Linked DNA regions of Drosophila melanogaster. Changing the gene in region 2 together with the main gene of any one other region gives a genetic interaction. Each region holds a gene or a part of one and is shown on either strand. Other genes may lie near its edges. The genes, in order: kar and red.

Region 1 (3,927 bases), 1.6 Mb from region 2:
GCTTCGTAAGCCTATCCGTCAGCAGCGAATGGATAACGCCGTAGGTGTTGATGAACCCAAAGATGATGCCGTTGCAAAGGAAGGCGCTCACCATGACCAGCCAGGCGCGTGCTCCTCCGTCCGGTGGCTCCTTGCCGTGTATGTCCCGACAGCAGGGCGCCTCGATGTGTGTCCCGTTCGCGTTGCCATTCCCATTCTGAACGGGAGCTGACGGCTTCATTGCATCCTTGCCATTCGCATGCACCAATCCGTTGGTCGCGGATGCTGTATGTCCATTGGCGGCGGGCAGGATACGACCATTCACCTGGCTCTGCAGGTCGTTCAGCGGTTCATTCTCAGCCATGGCTGCTGGCTAGGATTGGATTCGGAGTGCTGCCTGCAAATTTATCATATAGTGTATGAGGTTTAAGTGCATTGAATCGGTTGGACGCACTCCGCGTATCAGTAAGCCACACTGCACCCAAATATGCCGAAATGATACCAGTGCCACTCGCATTTCCCCATCCCGGAAAATAATCGCCGACTGACGCGGAATTGGCTGGTCAAATATTTGGACACTTTTATCGCTATTTGCGCCCCCGACAAATGAAAATGCAGTTTACATTGTCGGCGAACCAGAGGCGAACTAAATGAGCAACAAAGGCTAGATCTTAAGGGAGAGTTACTAGGGAAGATCTCAGTTTCGACTGGAGATAAGCTGAGGGAATTGCTATAAAGGTATAAAGATATAAGGGATGCCTTTTACTTTTGAATATTTCAAATAACATAAATTGTATCTTTAAATAAGTTACCCTTCTGTTCTTTAGCATGTTAGTCACTTATTTAGCCAACGAAAAGTTTAAATTGGATTAAATTGCAAAGCTCAGTTAACGAGGAACCATAAAAAAAACTGGTTCAAATTAATATCCAAAGATATCATGGCCACATAACTTTCGATTCCGCCTCCAATTTCCCTGCTTAGTATCTGGTCAGCAACATTGTAATGCACTTTTAAAGCTGCGCAGAACACAGATTGCATTACAAGCGATAACTGAAATTCGTCGCATTTTTCGATTATGCATGCCCTTGTCGAGTGCACTTGAGGGGTTCGGGGCGCGGTAGCTCGAGGTGGGTCTACTGTCTATGGTTGACGGTTCATTGCAGCGTTCCGTTCTGCAAACGTTTCTTTTTCCCGCCGCGGGGCAGCCGAAAAAACCGCATCGCCGCCACAGCGAAAACTCAATGTAATGCGAACCGCTCGACGGAATTGTAGTAAAAATAAAGAAATACAACTAAAACCACTGTCGTTCTTGGCGGCTATCACCGAAGTTCGCGCTATCAACGCCATGCACGTGCTCGCTCGACACCCAGCTCAATCCCAAGGGGGGTCACTGCCTAAACCGAAGGTCATCCACCGGTCGATGGGTTGGCCCTTATGTAATCGCCGGCGTTTGGACGAACTTCAAGTCCGCTCCTCTACGTACTTGTAAGCCGGAACTCCAGTCGCTGCAGGCAGACGTGCGATTCACTTGAAGACTCTGGGAATCAGATGAAGCCGACTCGAGAATCGCGGGAATCAGTGGTCGGGTGGAGACCTCTCGAGCGAGCACACAACCGAACGCTTGCGTCGTCGGCGGCGGAATGAAGAAAACTGAATTATTTTCCACGAGCTGTTTTTGCGAAAAATCGCTCGCTCACTTGATGAGGGGCGCCTAATCGGAGAAGCAGAGCAACTGTTCTCTGCGGTAAACAAAAATTCACCTAGGCAACGCTCAGACAAGCGATGCGTCAAGGGTTTCCCATCAGCCAGGCTGATGATGCAGCTGCTCCAGGTCCAGTTCCTCGCGCAATCACATGATCCCGGGCGGGATTTTGTGTTCAAATTGAATGCTCTTCTAATTGATCAATTCCCAGAATTAGAAACTGAAGCATTCGGCGGTCCACTGCGCAATACCATCAATTGGTGGTTAGTCGGTGGCGATGACTTCCACCGCCTGCAAGTGGCCATATCCGCCGCAGCCACCAAAGCGAACTGTTCCAGTGCTCAATAGCCTGACCCCAACTTGACTCATCCGGCGAATTGTTCGCCGCTCCTGGCGCCGGCGCTTCCTCTTTTCATATTGCGATCAAAGGCCCGTCGAGTGGTTTCGGGTATATGTATGTGTTTGTATATTTTGACTGGACTCCGGCGAGGAGCAAAGGCCACGTGCATTGTGTTAGATGAGATGTATAAATGTAAAACTTACTCGTTAGTGGAAGATTCAATTCGATTAATTTAAATAACTACTAGCTAACCAATGGACACCATCACATTTTCAGAGGAGCAGCGTCGAGCGACATGGGCAGCACAGGTTCCGGCTGGTCGATGATCAGCTTCAGATTCTTGTCGGGCCACTCGAGCTCCAGTCGCTCCTTGGGCTCGCATTTCTCGTCTAGGCCCGCGCTGCGGAAGTCTTCCATCAGGCGCGGCACCAGTTCATCGGGAATCAGGACCTGAATCCAGTAGCCCAGCACGCCGTACGGTTCGTTCACTGTCACCGCCGAGCCGGTGACGGATTCCGCCACCAAAGTGAGCGCCAGATGCTGAGCCTTGAAGGTGAAGTGGCGCCCATGTCGGATGCGATCCTTGATGGCCAGTAGGAGGTACTTGGCCACACCAGGTGCGAGGGTAATCTCAATACCGTCCAGTGAAATGCAGTTTGGTGCCTGCGCTTGAAAGTCCAGGGGACAGGACTTGTGCAGCGAATTGCTGCTCATCGACATGGATTGTGGAAAGCTTGGTTCCTCGCGTTTCATTTGCGTATCCGTCAGCTGCCGATTGTTTTCGTCGTTGGCGCACTTCTCGCTCAGCGCCTGGAAATCCACCTCCTCCTTCACCTCCTTGGTAGGTTTCAGCTCACGGAACGTAAAATCTGCATTAACGCCGGCCAGATCGGAACCCTGCTTCTCCAGATCGTCCTGTAGGTTTAGCAGCGTTTCGGGAAACAGTTCGAAGACGCTCATCTGGCGATCCATGTTAGTCACCAGCCAATCACCGCCAGTTTGCATATCTTGGCGAAGGAAGTTGAGCACACCGCGCCCGTTCCAACGCGATGCCTGCTCAAGTTCGTCGTCAAAGACGCCGACGATCTGGCAGAAGTCCACCGTGCCCGTGGGAGTGTCGATGCAGCCCAACTGCGGGTCCTGGGCGACGAGCAGGTTCTGTAGCTTGGAAGTGGTACTGCCATCCAGACTCTTGCGCCACGGGATGTTGTCTCCGAAGCACAACCCGTTGCCTGTTTGAAAACAATAGCGTCCGATGGCCTGCAACAGGTTCGCCGGCCAGGTGGGCGGTCTTTGGGGCTTTTCCGGGTTCTCAATCTGCTGCTTTAGCTCTATTTCTGTTTTGGCCAAGCGAAAGGTCAACTCGAACCCCATGCCAGACCGAGTGACGCCCTCCTCGCGCAAGTGGACTCGCTCGTCCCCGTGTAGGTCGCTGAGTCCGAAACTAATGTAGTGCCAGTGCGGCGGAACGTTCCTATCCACATCTCCGGGATAGTTGTACATGCTAATGTAGTCCAACGGATCCTGACCGCCCAGCCAGTACTTGAGCAGTGTGGTCACCTGCAGCGGGTTCGGCTGGTTGGGGTACACCTGCCCGAGGTGGTCTATGATGGCCTTAAGGCCCGGCGGAGGCTTCACCTCAGGTTTTTTGTCCAAATTCGCCTCGGCCATTTCATCCAGTTTGATCAGTATGACCTCAGTTGGAACGTTGCGGAATACCACCGCTTGAATATACCATGAATAAAAATACTGCCATGTAAAGTGCGGATTTGACAATGGAAACTTACATGAGTTTCTTTTAAAACCATTATTTATTTTTAAAACCTTTTTTATAATAATTATTACTTTCTTACTTTTTTCTGCTTATTTTTAAAATGTAGAGAAAAACAGTGAAAATATATATCC
Region 2 (3,927 bases):
TAATTATGAACTCGTAATTGGGATTGACACCTACATACAGGTAGGTAGCCTTGAGTGCTTACCTTTCTAACTAATAGTATAATTAACTAGATTTCTCACCTGCGAATGCAGTTTCCAATCCTTGTAGGCCTTCACAATGTAATCCATTTCCGTGGGCTTGTCTGTTTTTCTGCTTTTCACACTGGATCGCCTGCATCGAAGAACATAAAATATACTAAGTACGGTCACTGCACTCACTGATAGCAATTAACTTTGGTTCATTTTCGTTTTTGTCTGTCCCGTTATCAGCTGAATTCACTCCGCAATTATGAAACAATTAAACGCTGTGGGTATTTTTTTTTTTGTCGAGATTTCTTGGTACATGTTTCTTGGTTTTTTTTTTCGGTGGCTGCCATCAAACGAGGTTGTGCAACTTCCGAGTAATTATTTAACAGACTTTACTTTAGTTTGGGGCTTTACTTTTCTAGTCAAGGCTGGCAACAACAAATCTCTTGTGCTCACTCCTCTTTCGTTTCTTCTGTCTTTTCTTCTATCTGTTTGTCTGTGTGTGCCTCTGCACTTGTGCAAATCTCCAGACCTCGTGGGCGTCACTTTGTGGGTGTGTGCGTGAGTGGGAGTGTGCCGGTGACGTGTGTGAGCGAGTGGGTACAGTCGAGCCACAGTAAGTCGAACTTGTTACTACATGTTTATATATTGTCACATTATATAATAATCAATAATGCGGTAGAAAAGGAAGTTAAATTTCAGCAAAATTATAGAAAAAGTTGGTGCAAACAAATATGCTATTAAAAGTCTTTTTTCAAGTTCCGTTAAGAATAAACACTACCCTTTTAATTGGCCCTAATTCATAATATTCGTTTCAAATTTTATTAAAATATATCTTAAAATGACTTGTACCGACTTCTTATGAACATAATAAAGCTCAAAAAAGTGACATAGAGTGAAGGTCTTTGGGAATTCCGAGTTATGGAGTTTGAACTGTATGTGAATTTGTTTTCCGGCTGCGACAAATTGAAATTTGTATGTACCGCCATTCGTGATATTTTGCCAGTTGACTTTTTGTGTTACTTTTTATCTAGAGGAAAAAAATATCCATTAACTTGTAGGATTTTTCTTGTTATAATTCCAACTGCCGTCGTTCGTGTTGATGCTGTTACTTAAGTTATTAATTTGATTGTTGCTGCTTCTGTGGGACAACAACGAGCAGCTTTTGTTTATGGTTTCTCTAGTTTTCCATCGCCTTGTTTTTTTGTTTTGAAACAATACAAATGAGTGAGAGGAGCAGCGCAGATCACCGAGTGTGTAAATACACACAATCGAGGCTTTACGTTTGTCCCATGGCAACGACAGTAACCGTTCTCTAACTTAAGTAATTGTTGTGCATATATTTCACTTAATAGCAACTCTTCTTTTTATAATATTTTTGTTTATTTGTGTGTATTTCTATATATTCATCTTTTCGGCACTCACAAACACAGATACAAAAGCGGCAACGACGACGACGGCGACGACAACGCGATATATTTTATACGTTTTTTTCCAGCTTTTTCGCCGCTAAACGAAGGCACTAACTAAGTGAACTTAGCCAAAACAACTAAGAGCGCAGCAGGCGAGCGACCAACTCCAAGCAGCACTCAAAAACAAGTGACTGCTGAAATGACTGGCGAACAAGCGACGAGCGACGATTCTCCGCCGCCGGCGAGGTAGACTCTCTTCCAGAAGACTCTCTTTGGGCGTTCAGCTGGGCTCTCGGCTTTCGGTTTCTTCGGCTGGAATTGAAGAATGGCATTATCGCGCACTGGAAGTGCACACAAATACTCATTCGATTCGTGGATGTTGGTTTACTGCCTCCACTGCTTCCACTGCTCACTTCTCCAACCTGGAATTACTTTTCCAAGTACTCACCATAGGGGCCATACGAATTCGTTAGATGATTGTGCCTAATTCGAGTGATAATGGTGATAGCAAACACGTTGGACTAGCCAGCAGGGAAAGAGAATATTACAGGCACAGTGGTTGCATGGTGTGATGAACCATCCGAGTTTTACTTTACTTAATTTACTTTCCCACTTCAGATCACTCATACGCAGTGGTGTCCCTTACAAAAACCATGTTTTAACTGGATGTTGATTTTATTAGATTAAATTGATTAAATTAAGTTTATTAGATTTCATGACAATAGCTTGCATTTAATAATCTAAACTAAAATATTATATAGATGGCACACACTGTACGCAAATAATCGTATGTATGTAAGTATGTACCCGCAAACTTGTGATAATCATTTAAGCAGCTCTCTCTGTTTTTCTGGCACTCATCTTGATTATTAAATGATAACTGGATGACGGCGACAGGTGCACAAGTACAATGATTATCAAGCTCCTCGCGTTTTCTATTAGGTTTTATTGTTTTTTTTTTCCCGAGTTCGTCATAGGATTAATTAGCATGCATGATAAGCCCACGATCTGTGGAGGAATCCCTTTTTCAGCGATGAGCTGGAAATTTTCCAACCAACGCGGACGTCATCGTTTGCATTGCAGATTGCGGTAAAAGTTGAAGAACTATTTTTGGAAATCCGGTGATAGTGGCTATACGCCCGCTGCTTCTGCTGCTGCTGTCAAAACAAGACTTTCATTATGATTAGGCCAACGAATTCGTGTTGTTTGCGGCCCAGATAAGCGCCGAATGACTGTCACAGTACAAGGTAATCCATGTTAGATATACATATATTGTTATCGATACCCCTTATCACTGCGCACCTAAACGGACCGACTAACCATGAGGTGCGGAATGCGTCAGCTGCCAAAAACAAAGCTCGATCTGCCCGTGTTGCCAATAGCTGATAGTCCAAGTTACAAGGAGTTGATCAATTTGTTTATGTTTTCGTGTTTAATAGAAGGAATGCCAGGGAAATTGATTTAGTACCTATTATTAGCATTCATTTGAATTATTTCATTTACTAGCAATAATGGTTGTTATGATTATAGTTTCATTATTATTACTTTTTTTATTTTATTATATTATTTTGATAATATTTAGTTATTTATTATTTTTATTTACATAAGTAATTACTAAATTCAGGCCACAACTATTAACACGTCCTTCTTGGTGAACTTTCTATACTAATAAGGTTAATTGCAATGCCTTTTTGTGAGATAACATCTTCTGAATGTGGGTTACCATTTTTTGTCACTGAACAAGAAATTTACAGGCGCTCAGTGATTCAATTTCCTGCGAATTTTTTGTTCACTTCGGTGAAACGTCGTCGAAATGACGTCGATTTAAGCCACCGAATTACCGCCCTACGCTTCTCGCCCGGCAACAGTTGGATTTACATTGTGAATCAAATATGTGCTAATTGAGCGGACACGTTCGATTCGTTGACCAAAATCTATTTGTTTACATCGCGCCTTGCGAATGCATAAAGCCTTTGGGTGTCTTCCCAAAAAATTGGTTAATAACTTTGGCAAAGAACCAAATGCGAAGTGGACGCAGCTGACAAGTTGTTTATGTGTGTCCGCACATTATGGCTTCATTATGAAATCGCAACTAATCCGAACTTCATATACTGGCATAATGGAATTGCCAATGAGGTGATTGATATTTGCCACTTAGAATGTGGACTAGGAAAATCTCCTGTTTTTTAAATTGTTTACCGAAGCGGTTTCTTTTCTTTCCTTCTTTCCCAATAAGATACCGAAGGGTACTTAAAAATTATATTGAACGGAAAGTGTGATAATATTGGATATTCAAAAATTCAAGGTTAATGTGTTTTGTACACTCCATTCTAAACATTTTAATTACCACAAATTAAACAAATTAGCAGTTACACCGAAAGTGGTTTTAAATTTTGAAAAATACTGTTTTGTAGCAATACGCTTTTGTCTTTGAACTAGCAGAGACACATTCCGTATTTAACCAAGACAC

The links.
Region 1: of red (region 2) and kar, changing one enhances a phenotype caused by changing the other (phenotypic enhancement), as found in Drosophila melanogaster (one study listed by BioGRID).

What each region holds. Positions count from the first base shown.
Region 1 is NT_033777.3:12,687,746-12,691,672, forward strand, and holds the start of kar (karmoisin), read right to left. Parts: upstream 1,623-3,927; 5' UTR 1,464-1,622; intron 377-1,463; 5' UTR 344-376; coding exon 1-343. Other genes in the region: Su(fu) (suppressor of fused), read right to left, coding at 2,287-3,693.
Region 2 is NT_033777.3:14,286,993-14,290,919, reverse strand, and holds the start of red (red malpighian tubules), read right to left. Parts: upstream 1,850-3,927; 5' UTR 1,471-1,849; intron 679-1,470; exon of another isoform or gene 460-678; intron 191-459; 5' UTR 148-190; coding exon 100-147; intron 1-99.